Canis lupus familiaris: one gene and its partners. The protein of the gene in region 1 purifies or fractionates together with the protein of each later gene. This does not show direct contact. Links are inferred from orthologs where the notes say so. Each region holds a gene or a part of one and is shown in the gene's direction. Other genes may lie near its edges. The genes, in order: DYRK1B, FAM53C, LZTS2, PTGES3 and FAM117B.

What was found.
Region 2: the proteins of DYRK1B (region 1) and FAM53C purify together in Homo sapiens (affinity purification with mass spectrometry; 3 studies listed by BioGRID and IntAct, counting the BioPlex papers as one, with this or other methods). This does not show direct contact. The link is inferred for Canis lupus familiaris from reciprocal best matches to the Homo sapiens genes DYRK1B and FAM53C.
Region 3: the proteins of DYRK1B (region 1) and LZTS2 purify together in Homo sapiens (affinity purification with mass spectrometry; 3 studies listed by BioGRID and IntAct, counting the BioPlex papers as one, with this or other methods). This does not show direct contact. The link is inferred for Canis lupus familiaris from reciprocal best matches to the Homo sapiens genes DYRK1B and LZTS2.
Region 4: the proteins of DYRK1B (region 1) and PTGES3 purify together in Homo sapiens (affinity purification with mass spectrometry; 3 studies listed by BioGRID and IntAct, with this or other methods). This does not show direct contact. The link is inferred for Canis lupus familiaris from reciprocal best matches to the Homo sapiens genes DYRK1B and PTGES3.
Region 5: the proteins of DYRK1B (region 1) and FAM117B purify together in Homo sapiens (affinity purification with mass spectrometry; 3 studies listed by BioGRID and IntAct, counting the BioPlex papers as one, with this or other methods). This does not show direct contact. The link is inferred for Canis lupus familiaris from reciprocal best matches to the Homo sapiens genes DYRK1B and FAM117B.

The regions. Positions count from the first base shown.
Region 1 is NC_049222.1:114,428,367-114,434,287, forward strand, and holds the start of DYRK1B (dual specificity tyrosine-phosphorylation-regulated kinase 1B), read left to right. Parts: upstream 1-2,171; 5' UTR 2,172-2,328; intron 2,329-3,375; exon of another isoform or gene 3,376-3,409; intron 3,410-4,357; 5' UTR 4,358-4,458; coding exon 4,459-4,521; intron 4,522-5,556; coding exon 5,557-5,676; intron 5,677-5,764; coding exon 5,765-5,921. Other genes in the region: FBL (rRNA 2'-O-methyltransferase fibrillarin), read left to right, coding at 35-147, 1,401-1,546, 1,656-1,680.
Region 2 is NC_049232.1:25,988,344-25,994,494, forward strand, and holds the start of FAM53C (protein FAM53C), read left to right. Parts: upstream 1-2,027; 5' UTR 2,028-2,341; intron 2,342-2,444; exon of another isoform or gene 2,445-2,796; intron 2,797-3,270; exon of another isoform or gene 3,271-3,288; intron 3,289-5,693; 5' UTR 5,694-5,845; coding exon 5,846-5,923; intron 5,924-6,151. Other genes in the region: SLBP2 (uncharacterized LOC474694), read left to right, coding at 183-335, 479-599, 1,365-1,493.
Region 3 is NC_049249.1:13,867,730-13,873,670, forward strand, and holds the start of LZTS2 (leucine zipper putative tumor suppressor 2), read left to right. Parts: upstream 1-2,392; 5' UTR 2,393-2,549; intron 2,550-2,978; exon of another isoform or gene 2,979-3,500; intron 3,501-4,596; coding exon of another isoform or gene 4,597-5,688; intron 5,689-5,941. Other genes in the region: proline-rich protein HaeIII subfamily 1-like, read right to left, coding at 4,597-5,688. UniProt on the Homo sapiens protein: Negative regulator of katanin-mediated microtubule severing and release from the centrosome. Required for central spindle formation and the completion of cytokinesis.
Region 4 is NC_049231.1:1,242,100-1,247,515, reverse strand, and holds part of PTGES3 (prostaglandin E synthase 3), read left to right. Parts: intron 1-2,178; coding exon 2,179-2,292; intron 2,293-2,437; coding exon 2,438-2,507; intron 2,508-3,428; coding exon 3,429-3,527; intron 3,528-4,357; coding exon 4,358-4,447; intron 4,448-5,416. UniProt on the Homo sapiens protein: Cytosolic prostaglandin synthase that catalyzes the oxidoreduction of prostaglandin endoperoxide H2 (PGH2) to prostaglandin E2 (PGE2).
Region 5 is NC_049258.1:11,517,622-11,523,037, forward strand, and holds the end of FAM117B (protein FAM117B), read left to right. Parts: intron 1-807; coding exon 808-1,126; 3' UTR 1,127-1,591; coding exon of another isoform or gene 1,592-1,670; 3' UTR 1,671-4,732; downstream 4,733-5,416.

The DNA.
Region 1 (5,921 bases):
ATCCAGCTTGTAAGTGCCACTTATTTCTCCCTAGCAATGGTGGACGTGATCTTTGCCGACGTGGCCCAGCCAGACCAGACCCGGATTGTAGCCCTGAATGCCCACACCTTCCTTCGTAACGGAGGACACTTTGTGATTTCCATTAAGGTGCGGGGCTTGGAGGAGTCTAAGATGGGGTGGTAGTATTTTCTCTGTAACTGCCAAGCAGCTAGTCAAAACAAAGGGGCCAGGGCCTCCATTCTCCTAGTCTAGTCTATTCCCAGGCTCTACCCTGCATTTCCCTGCCCTGTCAAATAGCACTTGGTGAAAAATGTCTACAAAACTAAAAGGCTTTGAGTTTAAATAGCCAATAGAATGTAGTGGTCAAGTCCATGATGGCCGAGTCTGACCATTTAAGGTTTTTTGTTTTTAAAGATTTTATTTATCACAAGACACAGAGAGAGAGAGAGGCAGAGACACAGGCAGAGGGAGAAGCAGGCTTCATGCTGGGAGCCTGACGTGGGACTCGATCCCAGGTCTCCAAGATCACGCTGCAGGCTGAAGGCAGCACTAAACCTCTGAGCCACCCCGGCTGCCCTTGACCATTTAAGTTTGAATTCCAGCTTGTTCTCTGAGCAAGTTACCCAACCTGTGTTTGTTTTACTTGTCAAGTAGGAATATTAGTCGTATCTCTTTTAGTGTTGATGCAATGATTAAATTTATCAATATAAAGTGTTTAGACTAGAGCCTTGTATAAAATTTTAGATGAATACTAGATGCATTTTCAAAAACGTTTTATTTAAAGATCTTCAGCCAGGGATCCCTGGGTGGCGCAGCGGTTTAGCGCCTGCCTTTGGCCCAGGGCGCGATCCTGGAGACCCGGGATCGAATCCCACGTCGGGCTCCCGGTGCATGGAGCCTGCTTCTCCCTCTGCCTGTGTCTCTGCCTCTCTCTCTCTCTCTCTCTGTGTGACTATCATAAATAAATAAAAATTAAAAAAAACAAAACAAAACAAAACACCATCAGGTCAATAAAGTGTCCCTAAGATGTGTTTGTTTTAAAAAAAAAAAAAAGATCTTCAGCCAGATTCACCATTTGTTAGCCTTTTGCTCCATTTGTTTCAGTATTCTCAGCATTGTTACTATTGTTAAAGAAGAGGAAGTAGAAAAAACAAACACAAAAACCTGGGTGTAAAATTTAAACACCAGCTTTAAGACAGTCTCTGTTGAAGCCTTCCTGTTCCAAATCCAAACCAAATTGAAAACTTCTCTAATGAAGTCTTTCCCTACATTTCCAAAACCTGAGTTTCACTGAGTTTCCAATAATTTAAAAAAAAATCTTTTTTTTTTTTTTTTTTTAAAGAGCAACAAAAAGGAAAACAGTCCAGTGCTTTGCTTATAAAATTCAAATTCTTCTGCAGGCCAACTGCATTGACTCCACAGCCTCTGCTGAGGCTGTGTTTGCCTCTGAGGTGAAGAAGATGCAGCAGGAGAACATGAAGCCCCAAGAGCAATTGACCTTAGAGCCCTACGAAAGAGACCACGCTGTAGTGGTGGGTGTGTACAGGTGAGCAGGGGCCGGCAGCCCACCTGGACAGAGCCCTGCCAGTCAGCACTTGGAAGGAGTGCCCCAAATGGTGACAAGCTCTGAATCTTCTATCTCCTTCCTCTCACAGGCCACCTCCCAAGGTGAAGAATTGAAGCCCGGCGCCATCTGGATTACCAGAGATTTGTGTTGCTACTGTTACACGTGTTTTTCTATTAAAAGACTCATCCAGGGGCACCTGGGTGGCTCTGTCACTTAAGCCTGGGCCTCTTGATCTCAGCTTAGGTTTTGACCTTAGGGTCGTGAATTCAACCCGGCCTTGGGCTCCTTGGGCGTGAAACCTATTTAGGAAAAAAAAAAAATTCATCATCGCTCCTGTATGCTGATCAGAGACCTCCGTTCAACGGTGCGCATGCGCCGTTTTTCAACTGGCGCGGTGGTGGGGGTGGACCAGCTCATCCGGTCCCTCGTGCGCATGCTTCTCCCTTGGCTGCTTTTTGCGCAGCCGTAACCCGGCTTCCGGCGCCTGGGCGGGGCTGATAGCTTACGGTGCATGTCTGCCGGTAGACCCTGCTGCGCGCAGGCGCAGAATGTTACCTTGGGTCACGTGGGGGAAGCGAATGGGGGGGGTGGGGGCGGAGCCCGGGGCGGGGGGGGCCGGTTTGTTGTGGTCGCCATTTTGCTGGTTGCATTACTGGGTAATCGGGCCCTGGCTCGCCGCGTCCGTCGGATACCTTCAGCCAGTGGGCAGGTCTGAGCTCGGGCTTCCCGAGCAGCTTGAGTCCCCTTGCCCGCGCCCTCAGGTAACAACGCGGCTACAGGTGGGGCGGCACGAGCTCGCGGGGAGGGGGCAGTACGGGCCCGCCCTGCCCGCGTCGCCGCGAGACTTAGCACGAGGCCGAGGGAGCAGAGCAGGGGGGCGGCGGGCAGGTGCAGGCCGTGCCTGGCTATTCATAGTCGGATTCTAGGAAGTGGCCGAGCCCGAGGGAGCAGCCTTGGGAGGGCGGCTGGGAGGGGGTAGCGGGGCCCGGCTCCCGCCCTTTGTTTGGGCTCGGCTCCTCCGGCTGCATCGTCGTCGCCTAGCAACAGCTGTTCTGAGCTGCGATTGGCTGAGCTCTTGGCAGCAGCGGCCAATGGCACGGTTGTTGCCATGGCAGGTGCGGACTGCCAAGCTCAGGCCGGCCCCGCCCGCCGGGCTCCGCCGACCGGGGCGGGCCTCCAGGGTGGGGGGCGGGACGCCTGGGTCCCCAGGGGCGGGTGGCTGCGCGGGGCGGGGCCGGCGGGGCGAGGGTTAACCCGCCCCTCCCCCGTCCACCTGCTTTCCCCTTCCCCCGCGTGCCCCGGGCTGACCCTCGTTCCCTCCTCTCCCCGCCCCCGGCGGCGGCGGCTGCTGTTGTCACCCACCCGGCCGCCTGTCCCGCTTGCCCTCCCCGCCGCGGGGCTTGCCGGGCCGGCCGGGCCGGGACAGGCGGCCGTCTCCTCTCTGCCGCCACCGCCGCCATGCTGGCCGCTCGCCCACCCCACTGGGGGCCCCACCGCGCCCCAGCCCCCCGTGGGCCCCGCGCCAGCCCTGACCCGGGTAGGGGGTGGGTGCTGGGAGAGACGGTCCTGCTGTGGGAGGGCCCCAGGGAAGAGGTTGTTTCGGGTGAGGGGCGGGGGAGCTCCGAGAGAGAGGAGGGATCGTGGAGTGGCAAGGCTTGGCATAGGAGAAAGGGATTGACATGGGAGAAGGCCTGTGGGGAGAGGATTTTGGTGTGGCAGGTACTCTGGGAGGGGAGAACTCTATGTGATATTCGGGGATTTTGGTTTCTGGGGGCCTTCTAGGAATGGCACAGGTGTGGATTGACCCTGGTGTAGAGAGGAGTAACTGGAGAAAGAGCCCTGGTAGGAATATTGGATGGGGGGAGGAGGGAAAGATACAGTGTAGGGGAGAGAAGGGCGAGGGAAGAGACGGCTCCTCCTTGCTCCCATCAGAAGAAGTGAGCCTTGATTGGGAGGGGGACCACGGACTAATATGGGGAAGAGCCCTTTTGTGGCACAAAGAAACTATCTGGTGGGGAGGGTCCCTGATGTGAGAGGAAATGGTATAAGGATAAGGTCTTGGCATGATATGGGGAGGGTCCCCTGGGAAGGGGGTGCCCTGATGGATGAGAATGCCATAGGGGTAGGAATTTTTTATATAGGGACAACTCTGTATAACAGGGTAACCTTGGTATGCTCTCCAGGACCCTGATGTGGTTTTAGGGGCCTGCAGAAGACTCTGCTATGGGTGTGGAGGGGGCCCAGAGTTCTCTTGTGGTTTGGGGGGAGGGGAATCCTAGACTTCTCTAGGATCTACTGGGAAGGGTAGATCTTGAAGTGAAAGGACCTTGCTGTGATAAGAGGTGATCCTGACAATCAGGGAAGACTGCAGGAGGGCAGGATCTGGTGTGAGGGGGCCCTGGGGAGGGCCATAAATAGAAATGGGAAGCAAACCTATACTGTCTGTGGTTTCTATCTTTCTTCTCTTTCTCACCCCAATTATTGGTGTCTTTTTGTCCTTTCTTGTCATGGCCTTTATCCCTGCCTGGCTTCCAATCATTCCCTTTCACATGTTCCCCTCTTTGTGCCACCTACTTCATTTATTTGGTAATCATTTGTTGAGGGACTCTGCTGTGCCCCCACCCCCACCCCACCATTTTTCACTGTCCCCTTTCTTCATTGCCACCTGTTGTCCTTTTTCTCCTCTCCCTATGCCCTACCTTCTCTCTGGTGTCCACCTCTTTCCCACCTGTCCCTGTCCCACACATCTTCTTGTTCCATGTTGTTCCCCTGCCTCCCGCCTGCTCTCAGGTCTCAGCGGCGGTGGCAGCCGAGGTGCAGGATGCGAGAAGGCGCCCCCCGGCCGGGCTCCCGCTCCAGGCCTCGCTCCCCTGCGGCCCTCTGAGCCCACCATGGCCGTCCCACCGGGCCATGGTCCCTTCTCTGGCTTCCCGGGGCCCCAGGAGCACACGCAGGTATGCGTTCAGCTGGCTCCTCACATGCCTGGGGTAGGGGGAGGCTGGGGATAGAAGGGTCTTGGGGCCAAAAGATTATTTGGTTGCCCAGAGCAGTCTCCTGGGGCCATGAAAAGCCCATCTGGAGTGGAAGATAATAGAGAAGTTGGTGGCAGAGACTGTTTGGATAGCCTGGGTTCAAATCCTGACACAGGGTTAAATTACTTAGGTTCTACCTGCTTCAGTTTTCTTTCTCTTAAAATGAAGCCAAGAATGATAACTACCTCGCAGGATAGTTGTGAGGTTAAGCAAGTTAATGAAATGCATGTAAAATGCTGAGAATAGTGCCTGGCACCTAGGAAACACCCAGTAAATGTTCACTAAGGAAAAAAGGTCCAGAGTGAAAGATGGGCAGTTGGGGTGCAAGGGGGAGAAGTCTGAGTCCAAAGGATCCTGGAGCCAGCAGCATCTTACACTACAGAGTAAAGATATTCAGGGGTGGAGACTGTCAGGGCTCTGAAATGTAGAGCTTGAAGCAGGATGGAGTAGGAGGTGCCAAGGTGCTGGCTCCCAAAAGACTGGGGCAAAATGTGCAGAGTTGGGGGTGAAGGATAGGAAGATACCACAGGATAAGGGTAAAGCAAGATGGCAGCCCTCAAGATGGGACACCCAGAATGATGGTGGACTGGGAAGGGCAGAGCCTATGTTTTCTATCTGATCTCTCCCACGGAGGTTCAGAAAGGAGTAAAGGTGTAGGATGAAAGGTCAGGAGAAAATAGTTCACCATTCATTCACTCAGCAAATCTCTGATGACCACCCACTATGTGCCAAACGCTACTTGGCACTGCAGATACAGCAAGAACAAGACAGTCTCTGCCCTTGGGGAATTTCTGTTCCTGTTGGGTTGTCACACAGTGATCAAGTAAAATGTGTATATGGTGACAATGACCCGGCCACCCAGAGAGTTCTCCCTAAGGTTGTCTGTTAGAGGTAAAGGCCTATCCTCAGTGCCATGCCGCACCCCCCCCCCCCCCCCCGCCCTGCCTCACCCCGCAGGTATTGCCTGATGTGCGGCTGTTGCCACGGAGGCTGCCCCTGGCCTTCCGGGACGCGACCTCAGCCCCGCTGCGCAAGCTCTCCGTGGACCTCATCAAGACCTACAAGCACATCAATGAGGTGGGCGGGGGACCCAACCAGGTGCTGAGGGGTCCTGGCAGCTGGCACAGGGCACTCAGCAATCCTTATCTTCTGGCTGGCTGGGCAGGTATACTATGCGAAGAAGAAGCGGCGGGCCCAGCAGGCGCCACCTCAGGACTCGAGCACCAAGAAGGAGAAGAAGGTCCTGAACCATGGTTACGACGATGACAACCATGACTACATTGTGCGCAGTGGCGAGCGCTGGCTGGAGCGCTATGAGATTG
Region 2 (6,151 bases), on another chromosome or scaffold:
GAAATTTAGAAAGTTCAGTGCTTAATCCCATCTGAAGATTTATTTTTTTCCCATTGAATTGAGGACACTGGTCTTACCTTACTCTCAGGAAATCCCTAATGAATCTCTGAATTCACTGTGATAAACAATGCACTGTGCCCCTTTATTTTGGCCTGAGTCTGACACTTATTTGCCATCGCCAGGGCAAAGCGACAGCCAGGACTTCACCCTCAAACACCAAACAAGAAGAGGAGGTACAGCCGCCGCTCCTGGGATGCCCAGATCAGGCAGTGGAGAAGAGCCCTGCATTCCTGGGATCCCCCCAGCCAGCCCCCGAAAGGCAGGAGGTCCGAGGGGTGTGTGTATTATTCTTGGTTCCTTGTTAGGAGTGGTGGACTGAGCCCTACCTCTCCTCACTTTGCAGAGGTTTAGCTTTTTCTGGCTGAAAAGGGATAGTCTGAAAGAGGTGCATATTCCTCTGACTCTGCCACTTTCCCAGCCAGGGAATGGAGCATCTCTTAGAGCCAATGGGTTCCACACCTACGGATGACCTCCTGGATGACTGGTTCCAGGCCCTGGAACCATCAGTGAATCTGAATGAAGACCAGAAGGGAGCCCAGGTAGTATCCTTTTCTAAAACCCATTGGAGCAGGGTTAGAGTAGGGTCTGGCCCACAAGGTAACAATTAGGATGGGATTCAAGGTAGTAGTCGAAAAACAAAAGAAGAAAAATTGGGCAGCAAGAAAAAATAGGACATGAATTAAAATATCTAAGAAAAAGGTGGCATAAGGACATTTAATTGTAGTTAACAATGGTGGGAAATTGGGCTGCATTGGGGGTTATTTTATACTTGATGAAAGGAGTACAATATTTCTTGGAATTGAGGCCTTGAAACCTGATATGGCTTTTTTAATGTCTCCTTTTATTTCAATATTTTGCAAATGAGCCAATGCTAACTTTACTTCTTATTCTCAGTCACTGAACTTTAATAAAGTATGGTTGATAATAAAAACAAGGATTACCAAGTGGAATGAAGACCAAGGGCTTTAGAGCCTCAGGACTGCTTTATAATATTACCTTTGTCCACCACATGGACAATCACTTCATCTCTCCAACCATTTCAACTGTCAAATAGGGAGATTTGTCTCATTTGATGATTCTAAGCAAAAAATAAGAATACATATTAAAGTATGTAGCACGGTGCCTGGCACATAATAAGTGCTCCACAACAGCAATTATTGGAAACTAGGTCTCCCCACTTCATGGCCCCTGTCCCCTCTTTTGCCAAGGAGAAATGTGCAAGGAAAGGAAATGTGCAGTGCATCTTCCTTCCACCCCCATTTTCTTCATAAGTAGCTCACTCTGCCTCTACTCTTCTTTTTCAGTTTGCAGACTTGGTACCTCCTGCCTACTCCTTTCCCTGGCTCTATGAGGAAGAACACCACTGGTTCTACTTTCTAGCTGATCACAGTTACATACCTGTCCCAGATTTGAATGAGGCACAAAATATTTAGAGAAAGCATATGTCTTTCAAGGGACGTGTTGCTAAGTGTAACAGTAAAGATTACCTGCATTACTGCTACTTCCCAATGGATTAAAAAAAAAAAAATCTAAAACTGCCCTACAAAGAGATCACAACACGAAAGCATTGTTTAAAACTTCTTTTTCCATTTCTGCCTGCTTTTCTAAACCTTCTTTGATAGCTGAGCCTCAAATTTACATAAGAGCCAGTAACCATTTTGCTGTTCCCCAACCTCCTCCCTACTAACGTCTACATTCAGGCTTCTCAAAAAAGACTTAAACTTTGGCTGAGGTGGGAGGTGATGGTAGTGGTGGAAATTTAATAAAGGGTGGCATCCTCTTCCTGAAGAGGAAATACAAAGCTATCAACATCTTTTACCCAGCTGCCTGTTTCCTTCCTCCCTCCCTTTCTGTCTTAAGGAAAGTGGTCCAGCTGTAACCACCATACTCCCCCCCCTCCCCCGCCCACCCCCGCAAGCAACTGAACCGCCTATGATGTCATAATCACAACCCCATTACCTCATCCTGCTGGGGGGTGGGGGTGCGTAGAGGAAGGAGGAGGAGTGAGCAGCCCTGGGCCCTTTTCAGCTTTACAAAGTGTTTTGGGTGAGGGCTAATTACAGAATCAATTGGGAACGGCCCCGCAACCGTTACAAGTCCTGGGTTTATAAGGTTGGAGGGTATCCGGCAGCTGGAAGAGGGGCTCCCGGGACTCAGAGCAGGCCCTGATCGGCTCTTGGACTACATTTCCCAGAAGTCTTCACGCCGCGGGCCGGTCCTCTGCTGGCGGAAGGGGGATTCCTTCTGAGAGGTGCCCGTAGAGGGCGGGAGGAGAGAGCAGGTAAGAGCAACTCTGGCTATTTCTGTTACGCGGCCCGAACCGGGTAGGGGGCCGTACTAGGGCCAATGTTGGAATGGAGGGCGAGGAGAATCGCTTTGTTTACCTTCGTCCGACACGGTCTCCCCCGCGGGTTTGGAGCTGTGCCGCCAACTGGGTCCGTCCACCTTCAGCAATATTTTGGAGGGGGTGACTCGATAGTGAAGAAGCCACCTTCATCCCTAAATCAAAGAGCTTGGCTCATTCCCGACAGCACTTTCCAAAAAAGATTTTGGGAGAGAAGCGACGCGGGGTTCGAGCCTCCCCGGGCGGTTCAGGGCGATTCTGCGAACCAGAGCGATTCCCCCACTCTCCTTCGGGGCCCGTTGGTTCGCGCCGGCGCCTTTTAAGGGCACCGTGGGGCGAACGGAGCGCTCAGAGCTGCTCCGGCCGCGGCCCAGGGAGCTGGAGGAGCCGCGGTAGGTGGCGAGGGCAGGTGGCGCTGGGGCCTCGGGGCGGGCACCTCGACTGTCCCTCCCTCCTTCCCTCTTTCCCTTCCCCCAGCCCGGCGGCGCGCGCGGCACGGCCTCTCTGGACGCCTCCACGGGGAGAGCACGGGACCCGGTGGGGGAGGGGTTGGTGGAGTGCTAAGTCCCAGACCCTTTCCATCTCCTGCGTCCTGAGTTCGCTTCCCGCGGCCAGATGATGGAAGCTGATTGGGAAGAGGCGAAAGACAGCCCCCCTGAGCGAGCCCTGGTGCCCCCCTAGGGGCTAGCGGACGCCCCATGCCCCACCCCGCGGGGACAGGCAGGGCAACCGAGGGAGAGGTTGAAGACTGGAGGGGGGCCTAGCCTTTTGCTTCTTCATCGGGGTGGGGGGAGGGGTGCTCCCCACTTGTCACCCCTATCCCCGCCAGAGCCATATGGAGGAAGAGCAGTCAGTTCCCCACTTACCTGTTCATGTACCTCCCTGCCTCCCTCATGTTTTTCTTTAGTGTCCCCCAGAGGTGTGGGGCTGGGACCTGGGGGGAGGGTCCCCAGGGGATTTGTGACTCTCCTCCCTCTTGGCTTGATTTGATCCTGGGTTCTCCAGGTTTCAGCACAACCTTAGCATCCCTGAAACCCCAACGTCAGGGGTTACTACCATCCAATAGTAGATGGGGTGGGGGTCCAGTCTTTATTTTAGGGGGCTGTTGGTGGAGGGAAAGCCTGGATTGAGAGTTGGGCCTGGTGGGGTCGTAGGGAGGGCCTAGCGGCCTGCTGCTCTGTGAAGGGCTGAGCCCTGTGCCAGTTGTTAAGCTGAGAAGTTTTAACTTGTTTAGTGAACATTCAGGGCTGTCTCTGCCCCTCAGATACACAAAATGGAAGGGGAAGGAAGGCGGCAAGAGAGGGTTTCTTACACTTTTTTCTATGCCTGCCTGAGAAAGAGGAGGCCCCTCGCGGAGCTGGTTTGCCTTCTTTTGTGTCCTGGTTTGATTCCTTATGGCTTCCGTTCTGTTCCCCCTCTCAGCCTGGCCTGTTTTAGGAAACTCAGGCTGAGAGTATCAGTTGCGTGGTGGTAGTTGCATTGTTCCAATTACCGCCGTGTGTGGCCACATCCCAACAATTAAAATGCAGAAAAACACAAAATCACTCTCTTCACTTGATCCCAGAGAGGGCTGGGAGTTTGCTGTTTGGCCAAATGCCTCATGAAAAGCTTGAAAGACTTTGCTTCACTCCCTGCTCTTCATGGCTGGTGAGCCTGAGGCCTGGGATCTCTGGGGTAAAAGCCTGCAGTTAGGGTCCCTCTCTAGTTGATCTTTTGGGGGCAGAGTTAAGAAACCAAGAGCAATGTGATATAAGCTTTAGCTTTTCCCACAAGATCATAGGGGAAGCCGCTGAAGGGAGCTCTCAGGAAGCTAGAACTTCTTTGAGGGTGGTAATAATAATTATGCATGAAAATGATAGTTAACTGTAATGATGGTTGATTTCTCCCACAGCTTCCAAAAAACTGCAGATACATCAACACGTAGTTCTTTGCTTTTCTTTACTTACTTCTCTCCAAGGTGGAACGGGGTAGAGATGATTCCCTCTTTTTGCAAAAGTAGAAAGTACTCTACCTCCAAGGTCACAGAAGAGCTGTTTGGGGCTTCCCTGGGTGTTCAGGTGAGGGAGGTTGGCATCCAGCCAAATAGATAAACCCAATTGTCCTCTTCAGATTAATGATATTATCACATGTGGCATTCTTAGGCTGTGTAGAGCAACAAACAGGAGAGTTTGAGAAACAGTCTATGTGGACTCCTGATTTGTGCAGGTTAGATGGTATGCTTTTTACACTTTGATATTTCACATTATATTGTACCCATGACACATTAAGACATTTATTCTGCCCATTTTACATGTAGGTTAACTAAGGCCAAGAAAACTCCAGTGATTTCCCAGAACTGTCCCAGCAAATTAACACAAGACGTAGATTTCTTGAATGTTTGTTATATCTACTGGAGAATGCTACATACACCTTCTGATGAGCTGTCTGCCTGCTGGTCATTTCTGGGAATAGGCGGAACCATATGGAAACACTAGGTTATCCTCCCCTCCTCCATTGAGCAAGGCCCCTCAGGCAATTGTGTGGGCTTGAAGCCTGTTCTCTGATGGAATTAGTTTGCTTATACTGAACTTGACCATGGGAAGGAGCCTTGATTAATTGAATCCATGGTCTTTGAGTAAGATCAGGCTAAAAACTTAGTTGAATGAAGTCATACAGTTGGTGTTTTTAACATGTATAGAGTTGAAATGTAATTGGAAAAATCCTGGTACCATTTCTCTATCTTCTTAACCCTTTTAGAGAGAATATTTACAGTATCTGTTGGAAAACAATAATATATCAAACACTGAAGCTTAGGGAGAACATAAAACCTTGTTTACTCTGATTGATCTGAAGCAGAAAGTCATTCCTACAACCAGTTCTCCTTGCTGTTCCCTGTTCCTTTTAATGTAGTTTAGGGAAATGGTTACCTCTCTGATTCTGATTGGAAGATAAAGTATTGGGGGAATCAGGATGAAAGTAACCATTTGGATATCCCTCTCTCACTTGAGCTGTTTTTTAAGTGGTGCTGGTACTCTGGGTAGGCAAAGCCCAGCATGAACCAGGTTAGGGGTGGCAATTAGGTCTCAACTTGCTTGCTTACTCTAGTTCGTTTTACTGGTTAACTAAAGTGTCAAGTTCAGGATGTTTCCAAGGCTGTGTTTAGGCTTAGTAGGAAAGAGCTGTGATCAATTAATGATGTCTGCCAGAGGCCTGGCATAGGGATGCTGTGGTATGTGTGCCATGCATTTTCTACCTTTGGGCCAGGTACATCTCTAATATCACTTGGGGCTGGTCCCTCTGTAATTGGCAGACTCAGCAGGCATGACTGGAGAGGGAAGTCCCAATGGTGCTAGGATGGTGCTGCAGTGGCAGAAGACGGCCCACGAGTGAGGTCTGGAAGAACGACAGGGAAGACATCCATCATTTGCTCCAAAGTGTGCAAGTCAGATCCTGGGGAGAATCATGATAACCCTGATCACTGAGCAGCTACAGAAACAGACTCTGGATGAGCTGAAATGCACACGCTTCAGCATCAGTCTGGTAAAAGACCAGTCTTCCTGCTTCTCTACAACCCCCTCCCCCTTTTTTCTGAGGCTGTTTGTTGCTACTACTCTACCCATGTCCTGTGTCATATGAGTCATTGTACTTGTACTGGAAAAGCCCAGTAAAGGCTCAAACCCAGCCCAAAAGGAAGGGGGCAGGTACTTTTCCACTGGTAGAGAAGGGACACCAAAACTGGGGTGGAGAAGGGTTTGAGATGTTGGGAGA
Region 3 (5,941 bases), on another chromosome or scaffold:
AAAACTGTGAGCTCAGAGTGCCTGCCACCTGGACAATGATTCCATGTTATGCTGCCTCAAATGATTGTAGAGCCTTTTCTAGTTTTACTGAAAAAAAATTTTTTTCCATTGCCTTTGTTTCTGTGTTTTTTCCTCTTTGTCCACCAGGTGTCTCCCCAGTCTATAACTGGATTTTCCTCTTGCTTCGAACTGGGAGTCTTTGAACTGTGTACTACAAGGAAGCAGGGGCATTAAAGGGCCTTGACCCTCATATCCCTCTACGTGTCTTCTTGGCTTAGGGATGACAGGATGGTGCCTCTTTATCCCTGTCTTCCCTGAGGATCTCCATGTGAAAGGTGTGGGTCACCAGGCCACATGCCTAGGCCTTCCTTCCCTGACCAGCTGTCCCTAGGTGATAGAAGCCACTCACTGACCTCTCAGTGTGGTATCATGCTCAGTGTCTTCTTATCTGGCTCCCCACCCACTTCCCTCATCCTTGTACACTCAGTGTTTCTCTTATGTTTGTATGTGTCAGAACTCCTGGGACTCTAAAAATGTAGAACCTAGGGCCTACTCTCCCCCCAATAAACACACACACAGACATTTTTAATTCTGGAGGTCTCAGAAAAGGTACAGAATTCCTCATTTTTAACAACTACTGAAGGAGATTGTAAAGTTAGAGACCTACTCAGAAATAGTCCCAAGGGAGACACTTTTCCCATCTCACTTACTCTGATATCCTAAAGTCCCATTTTCCCTTTAGATTTGCATGCAAGAATGGTCAGAATGCAAAATGTTGTGAGGAGGCTGGGGAGAAGGCTTTTGTAAGGATGGGCAGAGGAGGTTTCCTGCTGCCTTAAATTCTCTGGTCTACCTAAGAGGGCTGCCTCTGGGGCCCTGTAGAAGGCTCTGGGGTCTCTGGTCTGTTGTGAGGACTGACTACAATTATCTCCTGAAACAGACCCTGGAACAAAGCTGTTCTCTGGGGGAAGAACCTGGGGTGGAGGGAGGGGGTAGTTCCTCCAGGGCCTCCCTTCTTGGGGGTCTCTCCCAGACTGGCTGGAGCCAGGCCTCCTAATCCTGCAGTAATCATTCCCAGCCGCTGGCTGGTCTATGCCTCATCCAGGGTCTGTAACATTGAATGTCAGCCATGCCTTCCAGATGTACACCACCAGGTCATTCCTACCTCTAAGGATTCTGGTCTACTGGAAGGCCTGGTGTGTTCTCAGAAAATCCTTTAGCTATTTCCATTAGGGGACTTTTGTGAGGTCTCTGTGAATTGGGGATAGAAGGATAGATACGCACTTGCCTGTCTTGCTCCACCCTCCTAGCAGACATCCCCCCCCCACACACACACACACAAAGCACAAATCCGAATGATGGGAGAGGGGAAATTGACACTCCCCCAACCCCACCCCGTACACACACATTCCATTGCACACCTGTCTTAAACTCACATCAAGATTAGCCAAAAGTATGTCTAGAAGTCCCTGGAGCCTAGAAAGCAGTAGGGGATCCCTGGGTCCGGAATAAGGTCCCTGGTAGCCACTGTCCCTGTACCCAACCAGAGTGGATTGAGGCAAATTACCCGGGCTCTTTTTCCAATCGGATATTAATCACCCTGAGAGTTTAGGAAGGGCCTGGCCCAGCTGGGTCCAGCTGGATCTTCAGCCGTGTCTTCAGATTTAGTGTCGTTTTTTCAGCTTTCCAGTCGCTTCTTTACTGCAGGTGAGTTGGAGAAGAGATTAAATTCACTGGACTCCTCCTGTGCAGATACTCTTGCTGCAAGTAAGGCTCAGATACCTGTAGATGACAGTCTGTGCCTTCCCACAGGCTGCCTCGGGTGCCACAGATGGAGCCCTAGGTGCCTTCCTGCAATACAGGGCAACTTCCTGTTTGTGCCTGTGGGTGGAACTTTATGAGTGTAAGGGAAGCCTGGCCATGCTCTGTGGGGGGCCAGAACTGGCAAGTATGCTCACCTGGGTAGGCACCTACTGCGGGGAGGGGGGAAGGGGCTGGCTCTGCTAGGGCAATTCCGACCAGAGGGTGGGGCGGGGTCTGTTTTAGTGAAACCCGAGCCTTCTTTGTCTGCTTCCTAGGGGTTTTCCTTGTTCCTGGGGAATGAGCTGAGAGCCGACCCGGTTTGGCTCCTTACAGGGTAGGGCAGGTGGCAGTAAAGTCCTATCGTCAACTTGGTTAGGCCGGCCAGGTAGTTTAGCTCCCGGTCACGTGCTGTTCGCCCCTTTCCCCAAGTCGAAAACCAAATCCAGAAAGCTGTGAAGTCGGAGGCCAGAGGGGCAACCTGGCCACCACCGAGCTACTGCTGGGCTGGGTACCGGGTCCGCCGTAGAGGGGGTGCTGGGCAGACCACTCCCCTCCCTGGGTCGGGGGCGCGGCCTCAGCCGCCCCGCCCCGCCCCGTTCCACCAGGCCGGGCCCGGCGGGCGCCGGGAGTCCGGAGCCCGGAGCTGGCTGGGAGCCGGCAGATCTGCGGCGGAGAGGTGCCGGCGCTCGGGCAGGAGCTGGGCGGGAGCGGCAGCGGCAGCGGCAGCGGCGGCGCAGGTGGCCTGGGTGAGTGGTGGGGCCGCGGAGGTGTGGGCACTCCGGCCTCCCGCACATGCCGGGTCGGGAGCGAACTTTCCCGGTCTGGGGAAGCTAGGGGGTGGAGTGAGGAGAGGGTCCCACACTGGGGTCCGGGGGGCCCGCAGGCGAGGAGCCTGAACAGGGAACCGACACGGAAACTCACGCCAGTGGGTGCACACGCGCGCGCGCCGAGACCCACGCACATAGGACACACGTGCACTCAGGAGAGGACGCGCCCAGTGGGTTACCCTTGCAGTCCCTGGAGCGGCGCCACTGGCCCGCACGGAGCCCCAGCTGACAGGGTGCTCTGCTGTCCCGTACTTGGCAGGGGTGGGAGAAGGGGCTGCCCGGTGACCGCCGACGGGGGCGGGCCGGGTGGGACACCTCCGGAGGTTCCTGCTTCCTGGCCGCCCACAGGTGAAGACTAAGACGTAAACAGGCGCCGAGCACGTGATCGCTTCGCAGACGAGTGGGCTGTGCTTCCCTCGCCCCCGCATCAGGGCGAGGACCTCCCTCCCCAACCCTGGGCGAGTCTCCGAGGTCTCCTGTCGGGCCGTATTCCATTCTCCGCCTCAAGAAATGTTAAGCCTTCCCCCTGAAATGGGAGCACAACGCCCCCTGGAGTCCGGGTAGCGCAGGCCTGGAGACTCTTGGGCTCGGTGGGGTTACCTGGGCTCCTTGCCTTCCTTCACCCGAACGAACACGTTCGTGGGGCCCTCATCCCGGAAGGTATCGGAGGAGGGCGCTATTTCGGGTGGCAGTATACGGCAGCTCCGGCCCCATACCTCCAGTCTGGGGAGCAGCTGCCTGAGAGCCGGTGGGTCCCTTTCCTACCACCACCCCTCCTTGCAGAACTGGGAGCTCCTCCCTTCAACTGTAGGAGCCGAAAACCCACTCGTGCGAGAGTGGGAGTCCTCCTTTCCCAGAGAATGCATAAAGGTAAATGTCCTCGAAGTACGGGAGTGGGCCTATCCCCCTCCCCTAGAAGGGAGGATGAGCCCCCTCCCCCAGGGAATGAGGGAGTGGGCAGCGGCCCTCGCCTCCCTCTCTGCCCCACCCTCCACCCCTACACACACGCTGAGCCCAGCTGCTGCCTGAGCTTCCGGGCTGGCTGCCAGAAAGGGGAGGAGGCTCCTGGTGCCCCAAGAGGCTGGGATCAGGGCAAGGCCAGAGGAGGGGGTCTCTACTGGGGAGGGGGGCTCAGTCTATTCTTATGTGGCTCAGGGTCTGGGGTGAGCCTGAGGGTGGTTGGGCTATGCCTCCCTTTCCAGGGAAAAAGAAAGAAAAACAACCCTTTCCATAGAGCTAAAAATAGAGCTGAGAGCTGGCCAGGGCTGTGGCCTGGAAGGGGGGGATGCTCCTTCCTGGGGCAGAGGAGCTCTGGCAGGCCTTGGCCTTGGGGGTGGGGATGCAAGTAGGGGGTGGGAGGCCTGTCCTTGGCTGGGGGTGTGGGCATCAGCTGACCTGACCAGAGACCCCTCAGGGGGGAAAAAAGTCTTTGTGGTAAAAAATGCTCGTGAAACACCATGGGTATGTGTAAGTTGTCTGACTGAATGAGACCACCAATGTGTTAAAGATGTTTAGGAGAGGAAGCCCATTTAAGATTGTGACTCGGTAGGAAGGACTCTGAGTCCTTGTGAAAGATTGTGCACAAGGTGTGTGACACCCAGTGTGTCTGTGTGTAAGTTGGCCTGAAAGATTATGGAAGGAAGGAACCTGGAATCACGTGATGGAGGAGACTGTGATTGTGGCTGCGTGGGACCGAATGTGGGAAAAGTCGTGTGGGTGTTAGGAAGATTGTGTTGTTTGCGAGAGGGTGAGACTCTCTGTGACCCTGAGAAGACCGAGGGATGTTGTCAGCTGTGGGACTGGTGTAGGTTCTGACTGTAGGTTTGGACCGCCTCACCCCAGTGATTGTCAGGGGGCCAGGGGCTGCCTCTCTCCCAGCAGTGACCTCTCTTAGCAAATGATTCTCAGGGAAGGTTGGGGAGCAGACGGCCGCGCGCGAGGCAGGCCTGGGCTCGCGGGGGGCAGGCTACAGTGCTGGGCAGTCCGGTAGGGGCCCCCAAAGTTGCTGGGGTGGCGGTGTATCCTGCGAACGCGCCGCCTGGTGGCGCCGCCTCCGCAAATCCGAATCTGCCTCCCTCCACCGCTGGGGGTGGGGCAGGCACGGCCCGAGCCCGGGTCCGCGACCCGGCCCTGGGGAGCAGGGGCCCGGCGGCCGGGGCGGGTGGGGGGGCCGGCCCTCCGCGCCCCGCTCGGGACTCCGAAGCCGGAGTGTGTCTTGCGGGGGAGGCTTCGACCGGAGGAGCGGAGGGGGAAGGGCGGCCGCCGTGGCGCCGGGCCCTTTGTGCTGGAACAATGACCAGCTGCCGCTGGCCCCGGGGCCCGGGTAGGGGTGGAGGGTGACCCGCCGCCGCCGCCGAGTCCCCGAGCCCACCGGGCGTGGGGGGTCCCGAGGCCCGCGGCGCGGCCCCGCGTGACGCGGGGTGCTGCGCGTGTCCGCGCCGGGGCGGGGACGCCCCTCGGACCCCTCCCCCGCGCTGCGCCGCCCACTCGGGCCGGACGGGGGCCGGTCGGGCCGGGGGCGCCGCGGAGGCGGGGCCGGGCCGGGCCGGGCCGGGCGCCTCCGAGTGGCCGCGCGCGGGCCGGAGCCGGGCGGCGCGCCTGTGGAGCGCTGGGGGCGGCCCGGGCCGAGCATGGAGCGGCGCGGCGGAGGTGAGGGGGGGCCAGGGCTGGGAGGCGACCCGGGGGCGCCCCCAACTTCGGCGCGGCGGAGGGCCGGTGGGGAGGCGGAGGAGCGGGGAGAGGGGGGAGGCCCGGAGGGGGCGTTGGGGGTCCCGGCTTCCTGGGGGAATGGGAACTCGTCATCCCGGACTTGATCCCGCCTGACTGGTCCTTGGAGTTTGGTGGGGGAGACTTTCCCCAACTCTTCACCCCCCAAAACAGGTCTGTGGGAGTTCAGCTTGGCCAGACCTGCGCGGGCCCCAGCAGCACCCAGCGCCCAGCTGCCCCCAGCTGCCCCCGGGCCCACCAAGGGGGAGTGCGTGTGTGTGCTGGGCCCCCGTGACCACTCGGGGGGTGCTGGGGAGGGCCAGGGGTTCCCTTTCCCAGAGCCACAGCGCATTTCTCAAAATGGAGCCTCCACTTGCCCCTCCTTCTCTCTCAGGCTCCCGCTCTTGGAGCCTGGCCGGCTGGGCCTGCCTTTCCAGAGGCCTGGCTCTGGCTCCCTGTGTGTCTGGCTCTCAGGGCCCAGTATTTATCTCTCTTGTGGGTTTAGGGGCCCCTGGCTCCGTGGGATTCAGGGACCCAGTCCCTGGGTCAGCCTGCCTCCTTGTCTGCCTGACCCCAGGGCCTCTCTGAGCCTTTGTCTCTGGTCT
Region 4 (5,416 bases), on another chromosome or scaffold:
GAGCCTGCTTCTCCTTTTGACTATGTCTCTGCCTTCTTTTTTTGTCAAGAATAAATAAAATCTTAATAGAAAAGTAAAATAAAATCTTGAAAAAATACATTTAAAAAATCTATGAACCTAAAACCAGTAAGTTTTCATTATTAGCAAATATTTTCTGTTAAAGACCAACAGGTTACCACATATTGAGAGTGCCATTTTGGTAAGAAATGAGCTAAAAATAATGTGACCTATTCATAAAACTCCTAACTTGTTTGTTAGCTGTATTAACATACTGACATTAAAAGTGATTCCTTAGTCCAAAAGAAGTTTGGTTAGACTTCAGATCCATGTAAAAATCTATTTGTTTTTTAAATTTGTTGATAGATGCCTAAAGAAATAGCTTTACCCTTGCTGCTTGGCTAGTATTTAGACTTTGAAAACTGCCATCCATAGTTTTTAACCTCCTTTGGATCTGATATCAATATCCCAGAGTGGAATATGACTAGTCAAGTTTAACAGTTGTGTAAAAACACTGATGAGCACTTGGTTGCAACTTGTTTATTTATAGGGACTTTAAACTGCTACTCCTTAGGGTTGGGAATTTCAGAGCTTTGAAACTAATTCCTTTCGTTTGAGTTTTTATCTTATGTGTAGTGCTAGAACATACGATAATTAAGTTTTTTAACTTCGAGGATTACAGAAGAGTCCAAAAAATTAAAAAAATATAATAATAAAAATTCCTGTATAGCCAGCCTATAACTTTAACTTTTACATTATCACCAGAACATGCTTATTTTTAGGAAATAAGTGAAACCATTGAAAATCATGTGGTTCTGCTTCCTTTCCCTCATTGTCTTTCTGGTTCATTCTATGGAGCAAATGCTGTTCGGGTGTGTATGTGTGTGAATTTTACTAGGAATTTTTATGCATATGAGGATATTTGTCTAAAGATTACAAAGAACAGTTTTGGGGCACTTGGGTGGCTCAGTCAGTTAAGCATCTGCCATTTGCTCAGGTCATGATCCTGGGGTCCTAGGATTGACCACCACATTGGGCTTCCTGCTCAGTGGGGGAGTCTGCTTCTCCCTCCCTCTCCCTCTGTGCCTCCCCCTCCTGCTCTCTCTTGCTCACTTGCTTTCTTATTTATTTGGAAAATAAATAAAGACCTTTTTAAGAGAAAAACTGTAAAGGAACGATTTTTTTTTTAACTTAAGAATTGGGGGTGAGGTTACTTATGGGTGGCTTAGCTGTTGAGTGTCTGCCTTTGGCTCAGGGTGTAATCCCAGAGTGTTGGGATCAAGTCCATGTCAGGCTCCTGCTTCTCCCTCTCCCTATGTCTCTGCCTTCTCTCTGTTTCTCATGAATAAATAAAATCCTTTTTTTAGAATAAGATTTTTTAAAAGATAATAGTCCAGGTTCTTTCCAGTATAGTATCTATTGGATACATGTGTAGAAGAATAGAAGACTGTAAAAAAGCTTAATTCTTTAATGTCATTAAAGTTAGGAAAATTTGTCCCCAGAAAATGGTTGCCTGATATAGTCAGAAATAAGCTACAGATGAGAACTTTTTTGAAAACACTGTCAAAAAAAAAAAAAGAAAGAAAAAAAAGAAAGCACTGTCAATTCTACCATCATCTCCCCTACCCTCTCCCTAGTTCTGGCATTATAAGTAGAAATGTTTCTGAATTTCAGTTGACAGTGGATTAGTTCTGATGGTTTTTTTTGTTTTTGTTTGTTTGTTTTTTAGGAGCAAGACTAAAGGTATATGGCACATAAATTTTGACAGGGCAATGTAATGGTTAACCCTATTGTATGTTGTTTCATTTTATAATTCTTTCCTTTTTTTTTTTTCATTTTTTAATTCTTTCCTATTGTGAAATCAGTATCATTGTGTTTTAACTTGGAATGCAGCTGTTAAAGAGTAAAGATGTAGTTTCCATTTGAAATTATAGTTAACTGCCTCAAGGGACACCTGGGTGGCTCGGTCAGTTAAGTGTCAGGGTCTTTGAAACCAGATTCAGTCTTGATCCTCAGGGTTGGCAGTTCAAGCCCCTATTTAAAATAATAATAATCTGCCTCAAAATAATCAGTGTTCTAGTGGAGTAGAGAAACGTTACTTATATGCCAAACTCTGGAGGTTATGTAAATACTCAGTTAATGAATTCCAGCTTAACTTTGTCTAATTTTATCTCTTTGTAGGCAGCCTGCTTCTGCAAAGTGGTACGATCGAAGGGACTACGTCTTCATTGAATTTTGTGTTGAAGACAGTAAAGATGTTAATGTAAATTTTGAAAAATCCAAACTTACATTCAGGTAAATTACCATTTTACATCATTGGGTAATAAGTTTGTGTCAGACAACTGAGTAACTTTGGCTAGCTTGTTTTGTGTTTTTACTGAAAATAATACTAATCTTTATCTCTTTGAAGAGGCTCATTTTTTTTTTTTTTTTTACACAGTTGTCTTGGAGGAAGTGATAATTTTAAACATTTAAATGAAATTGATCTTTTTCACTGTATTGATCCAAATGTAAGTAGTCTTGATGCTTTAATTCCAATTTATATGTGAGGAAATGGGCATACATCAAGTACTCTTTTTAGCAGTAAGCAGTAATTGTTTTTCTTAATAGTTCAGAGGTTATGGGACGCCTGAGTGGCTCAGGTTGAATGTTGAGTGGCTGCCTCCAGCCCAGGGTGTGATCCTGGAGTCCTGGGATCGAGTCCCACATTGGGCTCCCTGCAAGGAGTCTGCTTCTCCCTCTGTGTCTCTGCCTCTCTCTCTCTCTCTCTCTGTCTCTCATGAATAAATAAATAAAATATAAAAAATAAAAAAGTTCAGAGGTTAACTAGGCGTATTTATATTTTTGCAATATTTCCCTCTGCAACTGCCTCTCTGCATACTCTTTCTTTTGTTCTTGCTATCACTGTTTGGACTTAGGGCAATATTCTTGAGGTTTGTCTTAATCTAACTTTATAGAATCTTTAAATTATTCTATGATTGTATTATATTTGGTTAATTTTTTTTTTTTAATTTTATTTATTTATGATAGTCACACACAGAGAAAGAGAGAGAGGCAGAGACACAGGCAGAGGGAGAAGCAGGCTCCATGCACCGGGAGCCCGACATGGGATTTGATCCCGTGTCTCCAGGATCGTGCCCTGGGCCAAAGGCAGGCGCCAAACCGCTGCGCCACCCAGGGATCCCATATATTTGGTTAATTTTTTTAAGGTTTTTGTTTTATTCACTTTGTACAGGGAGGGAAAAGTTATTTTTTGCAATTTGCATAGCTACTGAATTTTTAGTAATCTAGGAGATGTTTCTTTAAAGTTGAGAAAACGTAGGGAAAGAAATTAGAAAGGAAAGTTGAGGAATGACAAGCTATTTTCTATTCTACAGTGATACTGGAGAGAAATGATGTGATGGTGCTTTTGTTTTTGTTTTCGTTTTTAGGATTCCAAGCATAAAAGAACGGACAGATCAATTTTATGTTGTTTACGAAAAGGTGAATCTGGCCAGTCATGGCCAAGGTTAACAAAAGAAAGGGCAAAGGTATGTTTCTTTTTTGGGAGGGAAAAATTGAACATTTTTAAGTAATGAAAGACACATTTGGCATGAGGAATAAAATGTTTGTTTCAGAGTTAAGTGGTATTAAAGTCTTGTGTTCTATATGTTTTTCCTTTCTTTGAGTTTTATTAGTTTTAACTTAAAACCAAATGTGGTCAGAATAAGGTCAGTCCCTAGTTGATGCAGAATCTTTTGCTGAATTCAAGAGGCAGATTTTTCTTAGGCTGGCTGGCTTTATTTATTTATTTATTTATTTATTTATTTATTTATTTATTATTCATTCATTCATTCATTCATTCATTCATTCATTCATTCATTCATTCTTAGGCTTTATTAGTTACTTATGTATCACATGGGAACATATTTTGTGCTGCAAAAAAAGTCCGTTGTATCTGAGAAGAGTTCCTACCAATGAATTTTGTTGTATTTATTTTTTAAGTAGGCTCCACACCCAGTGTGAAGCCCAGTGTGGGGCTTGAACTCACAACCCTGAGATAAAGACCTGAGCCAAAATCAAGAATCAGAGGCTTAACTGACTGGGCCATTCAGGTGTCCCTCTCCCCCCCCCTTTTTTTAAATTATGATTAAGAACTGTGAGAGAAGCTTTGTGAAACTATCTTGACTATTAATTGCATTTTACTTCATTCTGATTTTTTTGTAATCTATTATTTTTTTTGTTAATTTTTTGTCTTTTTTGTTAATTCCATGCCTCATTAGTATGAACCTACAGTCCCAAAAATATTGTTTAAGGTACATACATACATACCTGTACGTATAAGTTAACCTAATTACAAGATGTTTGTATTGATCTATAGCTTAATTGGCTTAGTGTGGACTTCAATAATTGGAAAGACTGGGAAGATGATTCAGATGAAGACATGTCTAATTTTGATCGTTTCTCTGAGGTAAGTTCCTATAAGCGCATTTTACCACCTCTCAGTACATTTCTATGTGAATTTAATTTGGTTTTAAAGCACCTTAGTGGTACTTAAGACCTAATTTTTTTTTTACTTTAAAGGTCATTCTGCAGCAAAACAAAGTAAGATCTTAACAATGATCATTTTATCCTAAAGTTTAACATTCTTTTATAATTCTTTTAAAAATTAGTGGTAAGTTCTAAACTTGTATACAGACAAAAATAAACCGTATTGTCAATGCAAATATAACTAGTTTTGGGGGGTGGGGTGTTGGTTTGTTTGTTTTTACAGCCAGTTGTTATTCTAGTATTGAAACGGATTTTTTTTTTTTAATTTTATTTATTTAGAGAGAGAGAGAGAGAGAGAGAGAGAATGGCTGGGACACAGGCAGAGGGAGAAGCAGGCTCCATGCAGGGAACCCGACATGGGACGCGATCCCCGGATCTCCAGGATCACACCCCAGGCTGTAGGCGGTGCTAAACCGCTGCGCCACCGGGGCTGCCCTGATTTTTTTTTTTTTTTTTTTTGAGCATGGATTACTTTGCATTTTAGAGCCATGTAATATGAATATAAACTTTAAACAGAAAAATGGTAGTGAGATGTGCATGATGAGTGGTGTGTAAGGATGTTTTAGTTCGCAAAATTAAGGATTAAAGTAAGCCTTTTTTTTCCAAGATGTCATCCAAATACATATTGCATGGCCAAAGGGGGGGGAAAATCATTGATCTCCCTTTAGGTAGACTAAGCCTTATGAAATAAATGTACTGCAGTAAACCTGATTAGAAAAACAGAATATTGGGATCCCTGGGTGGTGCAGCAGTTTGGCGCCTGCCTTTGGCCCAGGGTGCGATCCTGGAGACCTGGGATCGAATCCCACATCGGGCTCCCGGTGCATGGGAGCCTGCTTCTCCCTCTGCCTATGTCGCTGCCTCTCTCTCTCTTTCTCTCTCTGTGACT
Region 5 (5,416 bases), on another chromosome or scaffold:
CTTGGCACACTTAAATTTTAATTTTTTGAATTTCATTAGGAGAGCTGAGCACCGTACTTTTATCATATAATCATACTGCCTTTTCCCACTTGAATCTTGAATCATATTGCCTTTTCCCACTTGAATCTTGATTTACTTAGGCTCTCCCACCTTAATTTCTTTTTAATTTTGTGGCACTTCCATGTTACTTTAACAATTTAATTTTTTAATATCTTTATTTTCATAGAACACCATTATTTTTATTTTGATTTTACATTTCTGTTATGTTTCTCAGAAAACCATCATGGTTAACTAAAAAAAAAAAAGTTTCAGTCAAAGAGATTTTTAAGCACACTTGAAGAGATAACTCATGCCTACCAAAGTTTTTTCGTGCAGTCATGGAATTTAGCAAAAGACTTGCCTTCTCCCTTCAAAATAGTACAGGCTTTGGAAAAACTGTAGTAAGTGGAACATATTTTTGTCTTTAAACATGTAGAATTTCTTTTGCTTTAGGAAGTTCTTTATAATGGGTGTCTTAGACCTCAGTGAGATGCAGTGGTCACCAGCCTGAGTCACCTGTATGGTGCATGAGGCTCTCCAGGGAATTGAAAGCAGCAAAGACGTATGATGTCCTTTTGGCATTCTAAGATATATATTTTGAATTATGTGTCTAATTCCAATTTGGCCTAGAGCATTTGAAGCTTTTGATATAATCTGAGTTTTATATTCATGTATCTCTAAGTTATCTGTTTAGAAAAAAAATAATAAAAGAACTTAACTTCATTGTTCTGTGACTTAAAACTTCTGGGTTGTCTGTTCTGTGCCTAGGCCAAAACAGCTTCACGAAATCCCAGCCTTTTACTGTCCTGACAAAAACAAGGTGAATTTCATTCCTAAAAGCGGCTCTGCCTTCTGCCTCGTCAGCATCCTCAAGCCACTCCTTCCCACACCAGATCTTACCCTCAAGGGCTCTGGTCACAGTCTGACAGTTACCACTGGCATGACAACCACTCTGCTGCAGCCTATTGCTGTGGCCTCCCTGTCCACAAACACAGAGCAAGACCGAGTCTCTCGAGGAACGAGTACAGTCATGCCATCGGCCTCTCTACTCCCACCACCAGAACCAATTGAGGAAGCTGAAGGATAGGTCACAGGGCTGTGTGGCCATTTTTCTGGGCAACTGAGAACCTCCTCAGATCATTTCATTGTGATGGCATCGCGAGCTCCCAGTTGGCTGTGGTATGCTCCAGCTTTCCAGGGTGACACGTCACAGTATGACTTCTGGAAGAAGGCAGCGCCCTCTGATGGCTTTGCTCCCTCATTGCTTAGCCTGCTTTTTCTTAAAGCACTGGTTGAAACAAGAAAGGTCTCACTCTTTACTTTTGGAGGGCCAATATCATTGTTTTTTTGTTTTCAAATTAAACTTCTTTTTTAAAAAAAAACTAATCTCTGCAAACCTAATTCCTGAAGGGAGACATGAATGATGCTGCAAGAACCATCTTTTATATGAAAATGACTATTTTATAATACCAATGTTACATTTTCTGAAACGTAGCAAACAGGATGTTCAAAGATTCTTTGGTGGCCTCTTGTTTCTTGTTTCCCTTTCTAGATGTGTGCTTTTCTCAGCTGTTTTCAGCTTTGGGACCAAAGGGATTGTTGACATTTTCCCAGCAATCTTAATCTCATGACTATGTTCTTCTCCCAAACAAGAATTGATAGGTAAATGCATTGGACAAATATATAATGAGATAAAAAGCAATATTAAATATTAGTACATTATGTGATTTATGTTTTTTGGTGTCAGAAGTTTGTGCTTTGGGTGAAATACTTGTAAAACTGCTGTTTTCTTCACTACACCTGTACACATTTCACCATGTGGTCAGAAAAGTTATAGTCTGGAAACAAGTGCTTTAATATGTTCTCACCCGTCATTGGAACTTGGTTTAAAAGTCAGTGAGCCAAAAGGAAATTACCCAGTGTTGATTGCTAGCTAGGAGTAAGGAGCCCCCTTGGTTTTTTACAAAATACTTGCCACATGATCTCCCTTTATCATCACTGTATCATAGTTCCAAGAGGTCCTAAAATAACTGTGCATGGATTTCCTCCTTTGCTTTTGTGATGTTGTTGTCTTGTGGATTTGGTCAGGGTTAGTAGTTTGCCAGGAGTGTAATCCATTGAATAGCAATCCGTAGTCACAGAGTCTTGCGACTGACATTTTCTTTATGGTGGTTGGCACTGAGATATGTTGCTTATAGATTTTGCTAGTTTTCCCTCCAGCATTCCACACAGTGGGGAAGACCGGCCAGGAGAGCTTTGGAGCATATTAAACAACAGGAATCTTTGAAAAATCCATACAGTTTTGGGTTTAGGCTCATCTTAATACAGTCACTGCCAGTATCACATGACAACAGTATTTCATGTTTGTGTATATGGTAGTGAAATTAAGGAGCAGCTCTTTTTTAAAATGAGTTTCAGCAAACAGTAATTGATAAAAAGCATCCTTCTAAGATCTTCATATACTACCTATGATGCAATAATTTAATATTCCTATACATATAGGGAGAAATTTAAATACTTGTAAAAGGGATACAGTTTAGAAGGTTAATACGTCAGTTTGTTCAGACATATACCATCAGAGGAAACCTAGTGGTAGCAATAAATCTTCTGAAAGGACTTCTTATATTCATGCACCTTTAAAACATCTAACTAATTAAAATTATGCCCTGTGAAGTTTAAGATGGAGATGTATTTAGGCAAATTAGATAAATTCAGACCTTAGAATAAGTTTGTCAGGTTTCACTTGGTAGCACTGATGAATTTTGGTAATTTCTCCATCCAAAACTAGCTTACTTGGATTTATAGTACATTGTGGCTTCTAAATCACTAAAACTCAGTTATTCAGGGTCTAAATTTTCTGGTTGGTTGGTTTTTTGAGAAGAACCTTGATTCTTTGCCTTATTTGTTATTATGTGTCTTGACTTTACCATTTCACCACTGAGAACTGCTCTATCAAAAGTGCAGAAGAAAAGGTAAAACTCATCAGGTGAGTTGGTATGAATGGTAGGAGGAGGAAGTTTAAACAAGTTTCTAAAAAAAAAAAAAAAAACCCTCAGTTTTTGGATTACTTGAATTCCATTAAATCTGTGGGTTTTTTCTTTACCTTACACTTACTTTCTTCTGTCCATTCCTGTAAATGACAAGGGTATTTTGTAACTAAAATGCCACTTTATAAACCGTTTTTCCTTTTACTCTGTTGTGCATATTTGTATAATTCACATCTTTCTGTAGAGTGTCCTATATCCTTAAAGTAATTTAAAACTAGAATGGGAGAACAAGTTTAAAAGTTATAATTTACATAGTCTTATAAGTGGAACTTTTAAACGTTTGGTTGTAAGGAGAATGTGAATTTGCAGGTAAATTAATTGTATGGCAACCAAACATATCCCTCGGGTTTGGGAGAAATAGAGCCTGAGATTTGAAAGACAAAAAGGTACAAGGTACAAACAACTCTAACTGCCAGTGCCAAAGGGCTAATTTTTAAGCATATGAGCTTTATTGCAGTCTTGAAAAAATATTAACCATAGGTCCATTCAGCTCTTTTGCTTAACCCTTAGTTCACAGATGGCTGATTAAAAAAAAAAAAAAAATGGATCTACTTTCAAGAGAATATTTTCTAAAATTACATTCCATAATTATCTTGCTATTCTGTAGAAAACTGTACAGAAGATAAATTAGAATAGCTTCAATGGGAATATAATTTAAATTTTTTAAAGTTTTAAATAAATTTACTTCCATTGCAGTAAAAGAAATAGGTGGCATGTATATTTTGGCAAAAGGAGCTATTCTCTGATTATTTACTTTGTCTTAAGTTATTTCTCTTGATTTCTTCCTTATGATGATGAAAACATAGAAATTTATTGTTTCTGATTATGACTAAGTCTATTACTTGTCATGGCTTTTGTTAGCAATTATATTTTTAAAATATCTGTTCTGCCTCTTTGGTTAATATGATGAGCATGGATGCCAAAATTATTTTGAACTAGAGTCTTCATTTTGTTTAAAATATTTCTTACACTTATGATAAGCCAAATCAGCCTTTTAGAAGGTGCTATTGCTAACTGTGGAATAACTGGCAAGAAGAAAGGCTTTTTTTTTTCCTTTTTTTTTTCTTTTCTTTTTAATGGCTGGCTTTTACCGGAAAAGAGATATTTTAAAAAATGGCAGAATTTCTAGCCTTCTGTATGTCCAAGATTAGGACTGGGTTGTCAAGATTTTCTTCTGTTAAAGGAAATAAAACTCGCCATTACTGAATTCAGCTTACTATTCTAACTTAAGATTCATTCCTTAATGCTTGGAATTTTGATGTCTCAAAACTGGACCAGTGGAAGTGCTGAATTTGCATTAAAAAAGCTAAGGATACTTCGCACTTTAAGGTTTAAGTTTTACTCTGCTTAAATTAATGATAAGCAGAGCAGCCCTGAACAATATTTTGTTTATACAATCCTGTTGAAGAATATAATTTATGTTTTTTTGAAGTCTGTATCTTTCATCTGTTTAAGCTGTGTAAATCTTTTGAAAATGCAATTTTTTTAAATTTTGTTTTTCTAACAAAAATCTCCCCCAAAAAACAGCATTTCCAATGGTGATAAATATTGTTATTATGTACTTATGTATTCCCTGTATCTGACACTTACTGCTGCCTCACAAGAAAATAGAACTTTTATGTTAAAAATAAAGTCTGTTCTTGAGAGTTTTTTTTTCCATGTGCTTTTATGAATGTTGTTGCCTCATTTCGGATTTTCTTTTCAGACACTTCTCACCTGAAATAATTTAAAGATAGTATATTCTTTTTCACAAATGTATAGAAAAATGGGTGTGTTAAGTAGCAAGATATATAATATTGTCAGTTGTTACTTCCTTGCTGTCTCTTTACTTCCTCTAGAATGCAAAATACTTGATCTTTGTGGTAAGTGATAAGCACACTGAAAGATAATATATGTTTAGAAATAATTCATTACTTCATAGTTAGAGATTTAGCTAGGACAGTCACCTAATGTTATCCTGAAGTACAAATAGAGGATTTTTTCCCTTTGTTTTGGTAATTCGTTTTTTCTAAATCAGCCATGTTCTTCCATATATACAGTGGTTTATATGTGCAAGGTAGTTGTTTAGGCTCAGGGGTTGTCTGTATTCACAGAACAGAGCTAGTTAGATATGCCCCCAATGAAGGCTGCATGCAGTATATATATAACATATAGAAAGCAGGGACACCATTTTAAGTGAAGTAAAAAGTCACTACAGAGATCAGTTATAAAAAGTAGTCATCAAATTACATTGTAAAAAATTCCGAAAATTATTTTGGGGTGGAGGTTAACTAGAATTTGGGGATAGCTAATGAATATATATTTACCTTATAACCTAGCATCAAATGCAA